Macaca fascicularis: one gene and its partners. Each later gene encodes a partner of the first gene's protein in a complex. Links are inferred from orthologs where the notes say so. Each region holds a gene or a part of one and is shown on either strand. Other genes may lie near its edges.

Region 1 (5,298 bases):
AATGGCATCTGAAAGTAGGCAGCTCTATGTTGTAAAGTGAGGCCTTTCAGCTTTGAGTAGATTGTTCCCTAAGTATCAGTATCTAAAGCGGTGCTGTCCAATACAACTTCCTGTACTGATGGAAGTATTTATATTCTGCACTTTCTAGTAAAGTAGCCACTAGTCACATGTGGCTTTTAAGTACTTGAAATATGACTAGTAACGTGGCTGAAGAACTAAAATTTTAATTTTATGTATAATTTAACATAATTTGAATTTAAATAGCCATTAGCTGTAATGGCTAGCGGCTACCATGTTGGACAGCACAATTCTAAAGTATCTGTTCTGTGCTTCTCCAAGGTTCCCTTCCTACTTCTTGCCCTAAGTCCTCCTCTGGAGTCTCTGACATGTCCGTTAACATAGATATATGCAGTAAATACTTAATGATATAATTTTTAAAAATATTTACTATTTTTACTTAGGTTGTATCCTGTGTTAGTAAATAAGACAAAATGTCAAAATTGTTAATTGAAAATATAAAGGTCAAAATTAAAAAGCAACACGTTTTTATAGGCTTGCTTTCTGTTTGTACAATGCAAGTATATTACAGTTACTCTATTTGGAAAATTGTTTTAAGTTTCTGATAAATCTTTATAGAAAGAGATTACACTAATCAGATGAATTAATACCTTTTTTCATTTTGTCTCTTCACCTTATGTTGCTGAGTTTTTTCATCTATGACATTGCTATAATCAATACATATTTCATTTGAATTATTTCAGGAATTAATATATTAATTTAAAAACTAATTTGTTAATTAGAAATCAGCTGTGGTGATAGTATTTTTTTACTGGGGATTTATCCATTAGTTTAACAGAATTTTCAGAGAGGTTTACATGGCACCTGAATAGCTAATTGGAACAATATACTAGTAGGTATGGAATGATTCCATTTATTCATATAGATCCATATAGATAAGTCTATGTGAATAACATTTATTTTGAGGTGAGAAAATTCATCCACAGAGTGTTTTTTGATGTTTCTTTATCAACCAAAGGGTGGTTTATGTTAACGTTGAAGTTGTACCCTTTTATGCCTCTGTAAAGACTAATAATGGTCTGCCTTTTCCATACTAAATATATTCCTTAGCAATTGAGTTTATATCCTTGGGACATATGTAACTGAATTGTTAGATGTTGTGTTGGTGAGTCTGTATTTAAAAGAATTCTGCATAGAATCCTTAAAGAATGCAGTGTATTAAATCTCTCCCTTATATGTCTGTTTCCTATACTAGGTTTCTTGATATGGTTCATACTTATCATGAATTTAGAATTTTATAATTAATATAATTAGTATAATGACTGTGGAAGCATAAATGACTGTCAGCCGGACCCAAGGCTTTAAAAAATTATGAGTTTAACATAGATTGAGGTTTTTATTTTATTTACAAAGTTTTTGAAGTGTTTTAAACCCTTATTTAAAAATGCAGGCAGTCACTATCATACTAGTAAATTATATAATATTTAGTCTCTTTGTGTTTTGAATCATTAATGTATTTTTTTTTCCCAAATAGAAAGAACTCTGCAACATGATACTTGATTGCTGTGCCCAACAGAGGACATATGAAAAATTTTTTGGCTTATTAGCTGGGGTGAGTTCCAGCATCTACTAAGGGAATTCTTAAAACAAATATTGTAAATTAATTATTTCTGCTTTATGGTCTGGCCTCATATAACAACATATTACCATTTTTGCTAAAAGCAAATTATTCTCTCCTTCCTCAGGTTTCCCGCTGTCTTCACCTTCCTCTTTTTCTGCTTCATTTCTGCAGTCCTTTAACTTTGCATATCACTTTTCCAGAACTTTTTGGAATTTTCCATGCTTTGTAACAATTTCCCAATAGAGAACAATTAAATACTGTCTTTTCAAAATCTCAGAGCAGTTTCTAAAGTCAAGTACATGTTCAGGCAGCTCAATTAAAGCATGATCTACAATATTTCTTTAAGCTCTACCCACATGTGATCAGCTATATGTATGATTTTGTTTTAACATGTAAATCTCAGATAATTATAAACCATGTATATTAACTTCTTTTTTGAGCATCAAATGGCACAAAAGGATTTAGTGATATATGCTCTTTGAAAATATAAAACATATTAAGTTTTGATTCAGTAAATTTAGGATTTAATATGCTCATAATTGTATTAACATTCAATTTTTAATGGTACTGATTTTTTATTTATTAGCGATTTTGCATGCTGAAGAAAGAGTACATGGAATCCTTTGAAAGTATATTCAAAGAACAGTATGATACCATCCATCGCCTGGAAACAAACAAATTGAGAAATGTTGCTAAGATGTTTGCTCACCTTTTATACACCGATTCACTTCCATGGAGTGTAAGTACATGGGTCAATATTTATACTTCCTTCCTAATTCCCTATTATTCTCAAATAGATTTTGGTATAAGCTAGCTATATTTATCCTATTATGAAATGTGCTTTAAAATGAAATGTGTAGAACTGCTGTCTTTAAGATTATCTTCATGTAATAAGGAATCAGAAAGCTAGGTAAGTAATACACGAGAAATACTGTCTTTGTATTATATTAACTGTCCAAACATGCCAGTGTTTCAATATGATGGCTAGGAGTGTCTTCAGGAAAAATACTGCAGATTTTCGTGTTCTCTTTGTACACACACATGCACGCACACTCACATCCACATATGCCACTATTTTGGTGGTAAATGTGTCTCTGAATTACTCTCCCTTGATTCCTAAGGGAATAACTCTCCGTGGATCCTCTTGTTGGGTTTAAGAAAAATGATTGTCTTAGAAAGATTCGTTCTTTTTAGCAGACATTGAAGTTGGGTAAGCTATAGAGAGGATATCCTATAGTCATAGAAGAAAGAAAGATACATTCTTGATGGGGAAATGTGCACTGGATTGAAATTTAGAATGCTTTCATTAAGTTGGCATTTATTTTACAGCTGTTATTCAACCACTGTTAGTTAGCCACCACTTATATACTGAGTCATTGAGAGAGGTGCTGGGTATTCAAAGTGAATTATACATGGCCCCTTCTTTCAGGAGGGTTACTGTGTAAGATCAGAAGTAAGATATGCCCATAGCAATGATACAAAATAAAAAGTCTTAGATTCTAAGAAAAGCAAAATTGCTAAAGGAATAGAAAGAAAGAAAGAGAAGAGAAGAGGAGAGGAGAAATTACATCCAGGAGGCAGGAGGAAAGAACAGGATTATCTTGTAGAATGCCATCCTACTAATGGTAGAATGCCATCGTACTAATGGTAGAATGAAGCAATATCTCAAACTTATAAACATTGGTTAGATTTTTATAGTACTTTTAAGTACCAAGTATGTCCAGCTGCATTAATAGGCATTTGTAATCTAACCTAGGAGACTAATTGTAATAATTTTTGACTTCTTTTTTCCCCTCTTTGAGAAAATGAAATGAGAATTTTAAACAATTAACTAATGGGCCCCCCGAACACATAACCCATAAAAACTGGAGGTTACTTTTATTTTTATTTGCCCTAAAAATATTTCTTTAGGCATTTCAGTTTTTAAGCCACAGTCTTAATATTCAGAATAAACCATCATACTTTGTCTTTTTTTTTAATCATATGTGTGGTAAACAAAATTGTAGTCTAATGTGCTAAGTGGCATTTTGCCCCAAACCCTCATATACACCACATTTTGATGAGTAAGGTATAGGAGCTAGTAATCTTTACCATTATATGCTCAAGAGAGGATATCTTCCCTGCTATAAAAAGCACATTACTCAAAACAGAGAATGAAATCTATTTCTGTAGCATCTTAACATTTTGAAAGTTAGTATAGAGAAGTTTTAAACTTTGTATCAGCATTAAGGGGAGATATTCAGAGATAACTCTGGTTGAAGATGGGAATAAATAGTAATTTTGAGAAACAAACCTACAAATATTGGTCACTCTGTCCTGTCTTTTATAAATTTAAATATACTTGTCTTTTTAAACTTTAATTTTCAGGTTCTTGAATGTATAAAACTGAGTGAAGAAACCACTACATCATCCAGTAGAATTTTTGTCAAAATATTTTTCCAGGAACTGTGTGAATACATGGGTCTTCCTAAACTTAATGCAAGATTAAAGGATGAGTAAGTTTGCCATTAAGCACTTTTTATTCTTACTGACCTCTGGTTTTCTCTCATTGTAGCAGATATAAGCCCATCCAAGATTGTAAAAACAAGTACTAAGCCCCCTAGGACATTAATCACTATGAATCTCATGTTATGTCTCACAGGACAACGTGCAACTTTTAATGGTGGTTTTTAGTTTAAATGGAGTTCAAATTAATGCCTTTTTAAATTTTCTTAGAAAATACAGAATTATTTTTGTATGCTCACTTGAATTCTCCAGTGATATTTATAATTTTATTTTCTTTTTACCCTAATTTTAAGCCTTAGAATGATAACTAATATTATCAGTGGACAATTTTGAATATATATTTCATCTATTAATAATTTTTCAAGTCTATTGCATGGAACTAGAGCCTTATTTCAGGACTATTATGTAATCCTCTCTCACCTTTCTTATTTCCTATTTATTCAGATTGCCACTTAGATTGACTTCTACTCCATTGACACTACTGAAATCATCTTTTCAGATTTCTCAGTGACCACCTGTCATATTCAGTTGTCTTTCTCAGGCCGCATGCCTCTTTACTTCTGTGCCTCACTTACGCAGTTGACCACCTGCTCACTGTGGCTCCACACTTCTTCTCACTTCCTCTCTCAGTCTCCTCTTCAGCCTGCCTCTTCAGTGTTCCTGAGTTCCACACACTGTCTCTGGACTATTTCATCCACTTCTCTTGGCTTCATATACTTACTTATTTGGTCCCTGTCTACTTGACCAGGTTCATCTTCTCTCTCTTCAGCAAGCTGTACTCCAGCCACACCAACATTGCCAAGTTTGTGAAACACATCTGGCTCTTTCATGCTTGCTTACCTCGGTTTCTACTGTTGGCATTTCCGTGTCTTCTTGATCTATCTGGCAAGCTCTTAATCATTCTTTTTATATTTTACCGTTTTCTATGAGAAAGTTTTTTCTGACTCCACTGAGTAGTTATTCAGTGCATTGCTGAAAACCAAATGTCCAAAACCACCTTGTTTTGTTAGTGTCTTTCTGTTGTCTCAGTCCATAGATACTGTAATTACATGGTCTTCATCCTTGATTTCTCCCTTTTGTTGACTACTTTCACCTCTCCCCCAGTACTTTGCACAGTTCTACATATGTGTATGTATGTGTACATACAACAGAGG
Region 2 (5,953 bases), on another chromosome or scaffold:
CCAGAGACTGGGCAGAGGTAAAACCTACCAAGGGCTGAGAATTCTACCCCAAGAAGGAGGGCCCCTCCCTGAGGCCTTAAGAAGGGAAAAGACGGCCGGGCGCAGTGGCTCAAGCCTGTAATCCCAGCACTTTGGGAGGCTGAGACGGGCGGATCACGAGGTCAGGAGATCGAAACCATCCTGGCTAACACGGTGAAACCCCGTCTCTATTAAGAAATACAAAAAACTAGCCGGGCGAGGTGGCGGGCGCCTGTAGTCCCAGCTACTCGGGAGGCTGAGGCCGGAGAATGGCATGAACCCGGGAGGCGGAGCTTGCAGTGAGCTGAGATCCGGCCACTGCACTCCAGCCTGGGCGACAGAGCGAGACTCCGTCTCAAAAAAAAAAAAAAAAAAAAAAAAAAGAAGGGAAAAGACTGGCGGGGCATGGTGGCTCATGCCTATAATCCCAGCACTTTGAGAGGCTGAGGCAGGTGGATCACGAGGTCAAGATATTGAGACCGTCCTGGCCAACATGGTGAAACGCCGTCTCTGCTAAAAATACAAAAATTAGCTGGGCACAGTGGTGCGTGCTGGTAATCCCAGCTACTCGGGAGGCTGAGGCAGGAGAATCACTTGAACCCGGGAGGCAGAGGTTGCAGTGAGCCGAGATCGCCACTGCACTCCAGCCTGGCAACAGAGCGAGACTCCGTCTCAAAAAAAAAAAAAAAAAAAGGGAGAAGACCAATGAGGGAGGATGGGATGGTCCATCTGATTCTGCAATCCCCACTTAGCTGACGGCCTGCGAACCTCTAGAGGAGGTCTGGGGCAGTTCCCGGGCAGGGAGGATGGAGCTTACTTCCATTCTCCCTATTTCTGGGCTCCTATTTGCTGCTCTGTCCAGCAAGAGGCAGAAAAACTCCTTGGGCACCCTGGGGTGACATGCACTTCCCAGGCTGTGGAGGCTCCCAATAGAAGCCAAAGGGCTTTGGTGAGGGTCCTCGGGCCTAGGCACACAGACTAAGGTCGAAAGTCCTGCGTCAGAGGATGTGCATAGGGCAGGGGCTGACCACAAGGACCTGAAACCTCAGAGGTGAGGCCTGCTTCCAATGGGGCTGCAGCTGGCTGGAGCATGTAGGCCACTCTGCCTTCACCCAGGCCCAGGACTTAAGATATGGTCCTTGCCTTTGTCAACCTTAATAGGAGAGGCTCTCTCAAAGAAAATAGTATCTATTTGGGCATAGGGCATTGCAAAGGTAGTATCCATGCCATAGTAAACTATATGGGTATTCAGGGAGGTAAAGAAAGAAAGGCTTTAAGGGAAAAAATAGGATTACATAATTGTTTTGAGATAATTATCCTTAGGTAGAAGAATTAGTAACAAGGGTGACCAGTTCAACGTTGGACAGGAAAGTTGCTGGGCAGATGGCCATTCAAAAGTATGTTTTGTGCAAGGTTGGGGTTTTTGCAGAATCTTTGTGATAGTTTTCATTATCAGATATTTATGCATGAGAACCCTCTTGTCATGGTTTTCTCCGACTCTGTCCGGGTTTTTTTGTTCTGTTTTTTTTTTAACACAAGTGACTCCAATTAGATTAACAACTTTTGCATTCTCAGGACACTCACAGCCTAAGCCACCTCTCTACCCCTACGTTGTCAAACGCGATGGGAGTGTAGTAAGGCCACCTCCTTCCCTGGTGCTTTGTTCCCTGTAACCACGAGTAGTAATCCATCACACACCTGCTTCCCGAGAATCCTCGAGAAGGAATCGGCCGAAGGGCTTCAGCATCCAGAAAGCCCCGAAAGCGCCACAAACAAGGCTCTTCCTCGGGCTCCCCGGTGCTGCCCCGGGCGCGCGCCATCCACCCGGCTGACAAAAAGCACCAGGACATGACCCCGTCCCCTTTGATTTCTGTCCAGAGGTGGCGGACTCACCTCGGGGCTGGGATAGAGGACGGGTCGGGGTCGCTACGCTTTTTGCAAAAGGGTCAAAAGACTGATGGGGGTGGGTAAGGAGCTGACGCCCGCGCTCTAAAGGGGCGTCCTGGTCAAGGAGGCTGGGCCGCGCCCCGCCAGCCATGGGGATCCTGGAGGTGCTTCTGCCTCGACGTCCTCCCAACATGGGTGCTGCCAGACTCCGTTGCGCTCCTGAGTTGCTCCTCACGTCATTCCAGCCGCCCGACATGGGTGCCTCACTTTCGGCTTCTGGGCCACGTCGGGGCGGCGGAGGACCCGGGGGGCCGGGCGGGAGAGTGGGAAAGGTGGGGCGGGAAAGCCGAGAGAGGCCCTCACCCGCCTTCCTGTTGGCGGGGGCGGCAAGTGGGTTTCTTTCTTGCGTTCAGATTTTGCAATAATTTGCAGCTGGACATAGGATATGGGAGACAAGGCTGCTCCTCGCAGTACACCCACCCACGCCCATACCTCCCTCGGCGAAGCGTGTCGCAGCGGGTTCCAGCGCAGGCTAAAGAGCTTCCGCAGCCAGAAAACCGAAAGCGCGCCGCGCACGCGCGCCAAGGAGTTCGGCGACGGCCCCGCCCCTCGCCTGCCTCGTCCCGCCCCTTCCGCGCCTTGTAGGGTGGGGACAGCGCGGCTTCCGCCGGGAGCCTGGAACCGAGCCCGGCAGCCGGGGGCTGGGCGCCAGTACCCACTCCGCCAGCCCCAACCCGCAGACGGTTCCCTGTCTCCCGCGCCCCAATTTCGATTTTCAGACCCAACTCCTACAGGATTCTGAGACCCCGGCCCATCTCCCCACATTCCATTTCCAGCTGCAAATTACTGCAGAGTCTGAACCCAAGAAAGAAACCCATTTGCCGTCCCCGCGTCTTCCCTCGCCAGACAGGTGGAGAGTGGGTGAGGGTCTCGCTCGGCTTTCCCCCTGCACCTTTGCCACCCGCCCGCCCGTCCCTGGGGGTCCTCCGTCACGCCGGCCATGGCCCAGAAGCCGAAGTTGGACCCCCACGTCGGGCGTTTGGGATACCTGCAGGCGCTGGTCACGGAATTCCAGGAGACCCAGAGCCAAGGTGAGAGCCACGGTGGGACCAGGTGACAGGGTCGGCTGTGACCGCCGCCCGGACCTGGCTCCAGTGCCGCTTTCCCGTTGCAGACGCCAAGGAGCAAGTCCTCGCCAACCTCGCCAACTTCGCTTATGACCCCAGCAACTACGAGTATCTACGGCAGCTGCAGGTCCTGGATTTATTTCTCGATTCGCTGTCGGAGGAGAACGAGACCCTGGTTGAGTTTGCTATTGGTAAGGGCTGGGCCCGTTCGCTAGATGGCTAAATGGGCCGGGGTGAGATAAGTGAGTTACAAGTGAGTCCTTGGGGCCTGGCGTGGTGGCTCACACATGTAATCCCAGCACTTTGGGAAGCCGAGGCGGGGGGATCACCTGAGGTCAGGAGTTCGAGACCAGCCTGGCCAACATGGCAAAACCTCGTCTCTACTAAAAGTACAAAAATTAGCTGGGCATGGTGGCGAGTGCCTGTAATCCCAGCTAAGCGGGAGCAAAAATTAGCCGCACACAGTGGTGTGCACCTGTAGGCCCAGCTACTCTGGAGGCCGAAGCAGGAGGATTGCTTGAGTCCGGGAGGCAGAGGCCAAAGTGAGCTGAGACTGCGCCACTGCACTCCAGCCTGGGCGACGGAGTGAGACCATGTCTCAAAAAAAGATGTTTTAAAAAGAGCAGTTTTGTAGCCAGGCGCGGTGGCACACGCCTGTAATCCCAGCACTTTGGGAGCCCGAGGCAGGCGGATCACCTGAGATCAGGAGTTCGAGACCAGTCTGGCCAACATGATGAAACCCCGTCTCTAACTAAAAATACAAAAATTAGCCGGGCGTGGCGGGCGCCTGTAATCCCAGCTACTCGGGAGGCTGAGGCAGGAGAATCACTTGAACCCGGTAGGCAGAGGTTGCTGTGAGCCGAGGTGGCGCCACTGCACCCCAGCCTGGGCAACAGCGAGACTCCGTCTCAAAAAAAAAAACAACAACAATTTCAGGTGGGTGAGGTGGCTCACACCTGTAATGTCAGCACTTTGGGCGGCCGAAGCAGGCAGATCACTTGAGTCCTGGAGTTCAAGACCGGCCTGGCAAAAGCCCATCTCTGCTAAAAAAAAAAAAAAAAAAAATTAGTCTGGCGTGGTGTCCCAGCTACTCAGGAGGCTGAGGTGGGAGGATTGCTTGAGCCTGGGAGGACGAGGCTGCAGTGAGCTGGGATTGGGCCACTGTACTCCAGCCTGGGTGACAGAATGAGAATCTGTCTTAGAAACAAAAGTAACTCATATTTAGTGTTTTCATATCAGGAGAAGCAGAGATGGCTTGCAGTCTGTAACTTACGGCTTCTTTTGTAGTTATGATCTTAAGACCTATTGATTTATTCACTGGGCAGATATTTACTGGGCATGTACCGTATATGTAAACTACTGCTCTAAATGCTGGAGTATGGTGAACAGGTTAGGGAAAGTGTTTGTCCCTCAGGAGCTTACATTCTAGTAGGGGGGACAGGTGGTTAGCAAACAAAAAAGATGATGCTCAGCAGCAAATAAATGGGGTGATGAGAAACAGCAGTAGAAGGTGGTGGTTACTTCCGTTTTGGCCATCATGAGAAAGGCATTTTAGCAGGGACACAGCATGGGCAAAGGCCTTAAAACAGGAAGGAGCCAGAAGGAAGATGAATGTGGCAGGATCGTTATAGTGAAGTGGAGAATGGCACAAAAAGAGGATAGAGAGTTAAGCGGCACCAGAGCTTGCCGGAGCTTAGATCTAGGCCGTGGGAAATAGTTTGAAGCAGACAAAATTTTGAGAACAAACAAAAATCCCTGTTTCAAGCCATGCACAGTGCTCATCTGTAGCCCCAGATAGGAGGATCGCTTGAGCCCAGGAGTTTGAGGCTGTAGTGTGCTACGATTGCATGATTGCACCTGTAAATAGCCACCGCACTCCAGCCTGGGCAACACGCGTGTGATCACCTGGCTGAAGTCTTGTCAGGCTTCTCCACTGTAAAATTACTCTTTCTTTCCCCTCTTTACGTATTATGTATTATACCCATTGGAAGGAAGTCACTACATAAATTATCTTAAATCTTTTTCTTTTTTTTGAGATAGGGTCTCACTGTGTCACTTAGGCTGGAGTACAGTGGTGTGATCATAGTTCACCATAAATTTAAACTTCTGGGCTCTAGCAGTCTTCCTGCCTTAGCCTCCCGAGTAGCTGTGACTACAGGTGGACACCACCATGCCCGGCTTTTTTTTGTTTTTAATTTGTTTTCGAGAGGATCTCACTGTGTTGCCCAGACTGGTCTCGAACTCGGCTTTTTTTTTTTTTTTTTTTTTTTTTAATTTGTTGTCGACACACGGTCTCACCGTCTTGCCCAGACTGGTCTTGAACTCCTGGCCCCAAGAGATAAATCGCTTGTAACCCTAAACAGACCCTCATTTCATAACACTGATTCTTGAAGGCCCCAACCAGGAATGCAAATGTTCCCCCTTCCGGTTTGTCTCATTGCCTCTTTGTGGTTTGTTTCTTTATCCCCTTTATTTCCTATAATCTAGAAATTGGGTTGAAAGTCTTGATAGGATCAAGTAACACATTTTATTTTATTTTATTTTATTTTATTTTATTTTATTTTATTTTATTTTTTGAGATGGAGTCTTGCTCTGTCACCCAGGCTGGAATGTGGTGGTGCGATCTCAGCTCACTGCAACCTCTGCCTCCTGGGTTCAAGCAATTCTCCTGCTTCAACCTCCCGAGCAGGTGGGATTACAGGCGCCCGCCACCATGCCTGGCTAATTTTTGTGTTTTTAGTAGAGATGGGGTTTCATCATGTTGGCCAGGCTGGCCTCAAACTCCTGACCTCAGGTGATCCGCCCGCCTCAGCCTCCCAAAGTGCTGGGGTTACAGTCGTGAGCCACCACGCCTGGCCCAAGTAACACATTTTTAAAAATACATTATTATAAGTGTGATTCAAATTTTTCAAAGACCGCCC
Region 3 (6,080 bases), on another chromosome or scaffold:
CTTATTTTGTGTGTTCACCTCAGTTTAGTATTGGCACTTCCAATGCTTGTTTTCCTAGTCTGTAAAATGGGGATAATTAAGATAAATAAAATTATCCCCATTTTACAGGTGACAGAACAGCCTCACAGAGGCTAGGTAACTTCCAGAAGGAAGCAGAGCTTTTTTTTTTTAGAGACGGAGTCTCACTCTGTTGCCCAGACTGGAGTGCAGTGGCATGATCTCGGCTCCCTACAACCTCTGCCTCCCAGGTTCAAGCGATTCTCCTGCCTCAGCTTCCTGAGTAGCTGGGACTACAGGTGCGTGCCACCATGCCTGGCTACTTTCTGTATTTTTAGTAGAGATGGGGTTTCACTATGTTGGCCAGGCTGGTCTCGAACTCCTGACCTCGTGATCTACCCACCTCGGCCTCCCAAAGTGCAAGGATTACAGGCGTGAGCCACCATGCCTGGCCAGAAGTAGAGTTTCTAAGAGGCAGGTGTCAAACCCAGGCCAGACTCTGAAACCTGAGCTCTGAATATTTTGAGCTCAACTCCACAGTGACTGTATTTGTTCTATTAGAGACAACTGCAGAGAGAGGCCAAAGCTCAGAGCAGGCCACTGGCACTGGCATCTGATCCTGCTTAACTGCCCTGCAGCGTAGGATGGAGACACTTGGGTCTTGTCAGGCTAAGGGATGGGGTAGGATGGCTAGTGGTGGAATTGAAGAAAACAAATGGGCAGAAGGTGGCTGGGTGGAAGTTGAGCGGGCTATCCTGGCAGTGTTCACTGGAGAAGTGTGAGGCTTTCTGAATGCCTGCTGACACCAGGATGGGGCAGGGCTGTGCAGTGCAGTGCAGTGTGAGATACACCAAATTGGACTAGAAGCCAAGGCAGGGTGTGTAGGGGGTACCCCTGGGGCCCTCCACCTAGTGAAGCCCTATCAGCCCAGTGTCCTCTCACCAGCCCTCAGATCCCCAGCCAGTTTTCCTTTCTGGGCCTGTACTGCAACCCCCTCAACATGGCCCACTGGGTAAAAATTCATGCTTCAAGACTGATCCCCAAGCCTGTTTTATATTATATGAGTAAAGAATTTTTAAACACTTATCCCCAGATAATGTGTATTTATGAAGTATAGCCCTATCTGCTTGACTAATGTATTAAAACTGTCCTTTTTGACTCCTGGTCCAAGAAACTATTGTCTGCACTTCTGTGTAGTTGTGTATAGCATCCTGCAAATTCTGTCAGAAGTCTGTGTTTTCAGTAACACTAAAACTTCTCTCTCAAATGATACAAATTTTCAGCTTTAAGACAAGTTATGGGGAATGAATGTACAACATACTGACTATAGCTAATAATTCTGTATTGTTTACTTGAAGCTTGCTAAGACAAATTTAAGTGCCCCCCACCAAACTAGTACATAAATAAGTCTAGTGAAGGATGTTTTAATTAATTTGATTTTGGTAATCATTACACAATGTATAATTATATCCAATCATCACATTGTACACCTTGAATATATATAATTTTTGTCAAATAACCTTAATAAAGCTGGGAAGAAAACGATAAAAAAGTGACAATCTAACATATGATAAGGTAAAAAGATATTTCAAGAAATTTGGATGACCTCTTGCACCCCACTTTGCTAGCCTCTACTCCCAAGAGTCATGTTCTGGCTATGTGAAGTTGAGCAACTTCTTAAATCTTGCCAAGCTTCAGTTCTTATCTGTAAAATGTGATATTGAAACGATTTGAGAATTGTGAGGGTTAAATGAGATAATTCAGGTAAAGCTCTAAAACCCCTGCCAAGAATAAAGTCTTTTCTTCCCCCCCAAAACTTGAGTATTAGAATTCATTCTCTCTGGTTTCTCTCTTTTGCTATGCTAAAAATAGATCCAGGTCCTTTTCATTGTCAAGATGTTAGTTTCCTTCAAAAGATAACTGCGAGCTACTTGTAATATAACACCAGAAGAGTTATACAGGTCTTAGAAACTACGTTTTTCATAGTAATTATGTTGGTTTGCACTTCCTGGCTTCCCTTCTCAGACGGTAGGTACCTGGAAGCCTAGTGGAGCAGATTCTCCCCACTTGAAGATACTTATAAAAATAACGAACATAGTTCCGATGACCATATGCCCACCATATGCCCAACACTGCTCTGCGCACTTCACACAGTAGTGTTATCTCAGCCTGTGACCATTCCGAGTTAGGTGCCGGGATTCTCCCCGCTTTGTGATAACTTGCCCGAGGTAGTACAGCTAGCCAGCTATGGAACCAGCGCCTGTAGTCCCAGCTACTCGGGAGGCTGAGGCAGGAGAGTGGCGAGAACCCGGGAGGCGGAGCTTGCAGTGAGCTGAGATCCGGCCACTGCACTTCAGCCTGGGCGGCAGAGCGAGACTCCGTCTCAAAAAAAAAACAAAAAACAAAAAACAAACTCGGCTACGCTGCAGCCTGTGGCCCTCCACTTTCTTGCCCGTGCTCTGCAGTTTAGGTAACCTCTGGGGGCGGGGTCTTTTGGGTCAGGTTGTGGCCTCACAGAACAGCGCTTGCTGCGGTTGGATGGATGGGTGGGTGGGTGGATGAAGAGAAGAAACCTGGTGGCGTCGTCCCAGGGCTGTGGAGCGCCCCGAAGGTGAGCGCATCCCCCGCGAGGGCACCTGCCAGCCGCGCAGTTCTCAGCACTCTCCGCCACTTCCGGCCCTGGCCCCGCCCCCTCGGGTGGCTGGCGTCCGTTACGCGTTGAGGAATTTTGTCCCCAGCGCCGACCCGTCTCTGCCCTCGCCGCTGCCATGGCGGCAGCTCCGCCGCTTTCCAAGGCCGAGTATCTGAAGCGTTACTTGTCCGGGGCAGATGCCGGCGTCGACCGGGGGTCTGAGTCCGGTCGCAAGCGTCGCAAAAAGCGGCCGAAGCCTGGCGGGGCCGGCGGCAAGGGGTGAGTTGGTACCGGCCGGGGCGGGGCCTGCAACGACTCGCCACCCCTCACCCTTCCCAACTCCGCCCTCGGTCGCCTGGCGACTCCTTCCCTCTTGGCGGGTCTCCCGGCTTCTCCGCCGACCCCTGCTCATGCCCAGGGCCCCACTCACATCGCTTGAGGCCCCGCATTGCCTCTGCCGCCCCGCTTACACCTCGAGCCTCTGAGCAGTAGCGTCAGTGCGTTAGAGCCGGGCTGTAACTTTGATTACTCTTTTCCCGCCTTGGTAGACTTCCGTCCTCTCCCATGGAGAATGAATATTGCGCCCCGAGAATAATGGAGCGGATTCAAAGCCTCTGTGCTTGAATCTTTAGGGCCCGGTACCTGCCTGTGGGGATTCCCAAATCCCAAGGACTTGGTTCTGAATCAGAGACCTTGGATCACCTCCTGTTACTCTTAGTAATAGTCCTACTAACAAGAGAAGTTAACATTTACATAATTATACTTTTCTTGCCAGGCAACATTATAAGAAATTTAAACATAAGTTTGTTTAAGCCTTACAACAGTACCATGAACTGGGTATTATTTTCAAATGGGAAAACTTTGTGGCCCAATATAGTGGGCCCTACCAAATCGTTTTCCACCCAGAACCACAGAATGTGACATTTAGAAATAGGGTCTTTGGAGATGTAATCAGTTAAGATGAAGTCATACTTGATTAAGGTGGGTGCCAAATACAAAATGACTGTTTTCCTTTTAAAAAGAGGGAAGTATGGATACAGACACAGCAACAAAGGAAAAACGACCATGTCTAGATGAAGGCTGAGATTGGATTGGATTTATGTTGCCAAAAGCCAAGGTATGCCTGGGGCTACCAGAAGCTGGGAGAGGCAAGGAAAGATCCTTCCCTACCGACTTTGCAGGGAGGATGGCCTTGCAGACACCTGGATTTCAGATTGCTAGCTTCCAGAACTGTGAGAGTTTCTGTTGTTTTATGCCACGCAATTTTGTGGTACTTTGTTACAGTAACCCTAAGGCACTAAGATACCCAGTGAAGTCACATTGTTCTAAAGAACTAGTCCATGTTGTTTTCTGGTTTGGTGCTTGCCTTATTATTGTCCTCGTCTTTCTGCTTCGCTGACTTGTGTGGATCCTTTGGAGGCAGTGCCATGTGATGAAAGTAGCTTGAGTGTTGGAGCAGCACTGGTCAGAGTTCGAATCCTAGCTGTGCCACTTTATAGGCTGTGTACCCTTGGGCAAAGTGTTTCATCTCACTGAACTGCAGTTTCCTTATCTTTAAAATGGGAATAATACTGAATAATAATGCTTTTATGAAGTGGTGGTTGTGATTAGAGGGATTGCATTAAGTGACCCTGGCTTTTTGAATAACTTCACATCATGGCAGTCATGGTTATTATTGGGGCTCAACTATAGTTTATCCATGTAACAAGCATTTATTGAATACACTGTATTCCAGTTACTGAGGATGCCTCTGTGAACAAAAAGAAACATAGTCCCTGTTCTTGTGGAGCTTATAGTTTAGTGGGAATACAGGCTTTAAGCAACTAATTACACAACTAATTGGTGTATTTTCTTTATGATAAATGCAATGAAAGTATTCCAAGAGTTTTTAACAAGAGTTCTTAGTCTTTTTTTTTTTTTTTTTTTTTTGAGACAGAGTCTCACTCTGTCCCCCAGGCTGGAGTGCAGTGGCATGATCTCAGCTCACTGCAAGCTCCAACTACAGGGTTCACGCCATTCTCCTGCCTCAGCCTCCCAAGTAGCTGGGACTACAGGCACCCGCCACCACACCTGGCTAATTTTTTGTATTTTTAGTAGAGACAGGGTTTCACCATGTTAGCCAGGTTGGTCTCGATCTCCTGACCTCATGATCCACCTGCCTCAGCCTCCAAGTGTTGGGATTACAGGCGTGAGCCACTGGGCCCGGCCGGGTCCGTGGTCTTGAGTGAGTGTGAGATAGTGGGGGAATCCGGGAAGCAGTCAAGAAAAGTTTGCCAGACTGGGTGCGATGGCTCTCGCCTGTAATCCCAGCACTTTGGGAGGCCGAGGCGGGCGGATCATGAGGTCAGGAGATCAAGACCATCCTGGCTAACACAGTGAAACCCCATCTGTACTAAAAAAATACAAAAAATTAGCCGGGCATAGTGGCAGGCGCCTGTAGTCCCAGCTACTCGGGAGGCTGAGGCAGGAGAATGGCACGATCCCGGGAGGCGGAGCTTGCAGTGAGCTGAGATTGTGCCACTGCACTCCAACCTGGGCGACAGAGCAAGACTCCGTCTCAAAAAAAAAAAAAAAAAAAGTTTGCCAAAGGAAGTTAAATTTGTGTTAGGACCTGAAAAATGAGGAAGAGTTTCCTGGAATGAGGAAGAGTTTCCTAGCACTTTGGGAGGCCAAGGCGGGTGGATTGCTTGCATATAGGAGTTTGGGACCAGTCTGGGCAACATGGTTAAACCCTGTTTCTACAAAAAATTAAAAAAAAAAAAAGTCAGGCACAGTGGCACATGCCTGTAGTCTCAGCTACTTGGGAGACTGAGTGGAGAGAATAACTTAACCCCAGGAAGTCAAAGCTGCAGGGAGCCATGATGGTGCCCCTGCACTCCAGCCTGGGCAACAGTGTGAGACCCTGTCTCAAAAAAGAAAAAGATTGAGAAGTGTAGATCAGGCAGAGGGAAGGAACTGCATATGTGAAAACTGATGTGGTAGTAACTTGGCTCCTTCCTAGGCACCAAAGGATGACCCAGGGAGGTGTTCAACCAAGGAAGTAGCAGTAGGAGATTAAGATGACCTTGAAGACAAAGACTGGACCATGCAGGATCCTGTAGGATTTTGAACTTTTATTTTAAAACCAATAGATAAGTGTTTTTAGGCTGGTATCCTAGAATGACTCTTTTTGATCTTCTTCTTCTCGTTTAGAATGCGGATTGTGGATGATGATGTGAGCTGGACCGCTATCTCCACAAGTAAACCAGAAAAGGAGGAAGAGGAAGATGATGGAGATTTGCCTGTGGTATGTATCTTTGGGGCTCTCAGGATTTTGAAATGAAGCAAGCTTCTCAATTTTTTTTTTTTTTCAGACGGAGTCTCACTCTGTCTCCTGGGCTGGAGTGCAATGGCGTGATCTTGGCTCACTGCAACCTCCACCTCCTGGGTTCAGGCGATTCTCCTGCCTCAG

The links. Proteins that work in one complex are often made in the same cells at the same time.
Region 2: CWC22 (region 1) and ARMC7 share a complex: the UniProt entries of both Homo sapiens proteins name them as parts of the minor spliceosome. The link is inferred for Macaca fascicularis from reciprocal best matches to the Homo sapiens genes CWC22 and ARMC7.
Region 3: CWC22 (region 1) and BUD13 share a complex: the UniProt entries of both Homo sapiens proteins name them as parts of the minor spliceosome. The link is inferred for Macaca fascicularis from reciprocal best matches to the Homo sapiens genes CWC22 and BUD13.

Annotation. Positions count from the first base shown.
Region 1 is NC_088386.1:75,511,054-75,516,351, reverse strand, and holds part of CWC22 (pre-mRNA-splicing factor CWC22 homolog), read left to right. Parts: intron 1-1,552; coding exon 1,553-1,630; intron 1,631-2,225; coding exon 2,226-2,378; intron 2,379-4,006; coding exon 4,007-4,134; intron 4,135-5,298. UniProt on the Homo sapiens protein: Required for pre-mRNA splicing as component of the spliceosome. As a component of the minor spliceosome, involved in the splicing of U12-type introns in pre-mRNAs. Promotes exon-junction complex (EJC) assembly.
Region 2 is NC_088390.1:81,487,486-81,493,438, forward strand, and holds the start of ARMC7 (armadillo repeat-containing protein 7), read left to right. Parts: upstream 1-2,612; 5' UTR 2,613-2,905; coding exon 2,906-2,996; intron 2,997-3,079; coding exon 3,080-3,223; intron 3,224-5,953. UniProt on the Homo sapiens protein: As a component of the minor spliceosome, involved in the splicing of U12-type introns in pre-mRNAs.
Region 3 is NC_088388.1:115,623,979-115,630,058, reverse strand, and holds the start of BUD13 (BUD13 homolog), read left to right. Parts: upstream 1-2,739; 5' UTR 2,740-2,765; coding exon 2,766-2,908; intron 2,909-3,651; exon of another isoform or gene 3,652-3,702; coding exon of another isoform or gene 3,703-3,746; intron 3,747-5,630; exon of another isoform or gene 5,631-5,688; coding exon of another isoform or gene 5,689-5,726; intron 5,727-5,821; coding exon 5,822-5,915; intron 5,916-6,080. UniProt on the Homo sapiens protein: Involved in pre-mRNA splicing as component of the activated spliceosome. As a component of the minor spliceosome, involved in the splicing of U12-type introns in pre-mRNAs.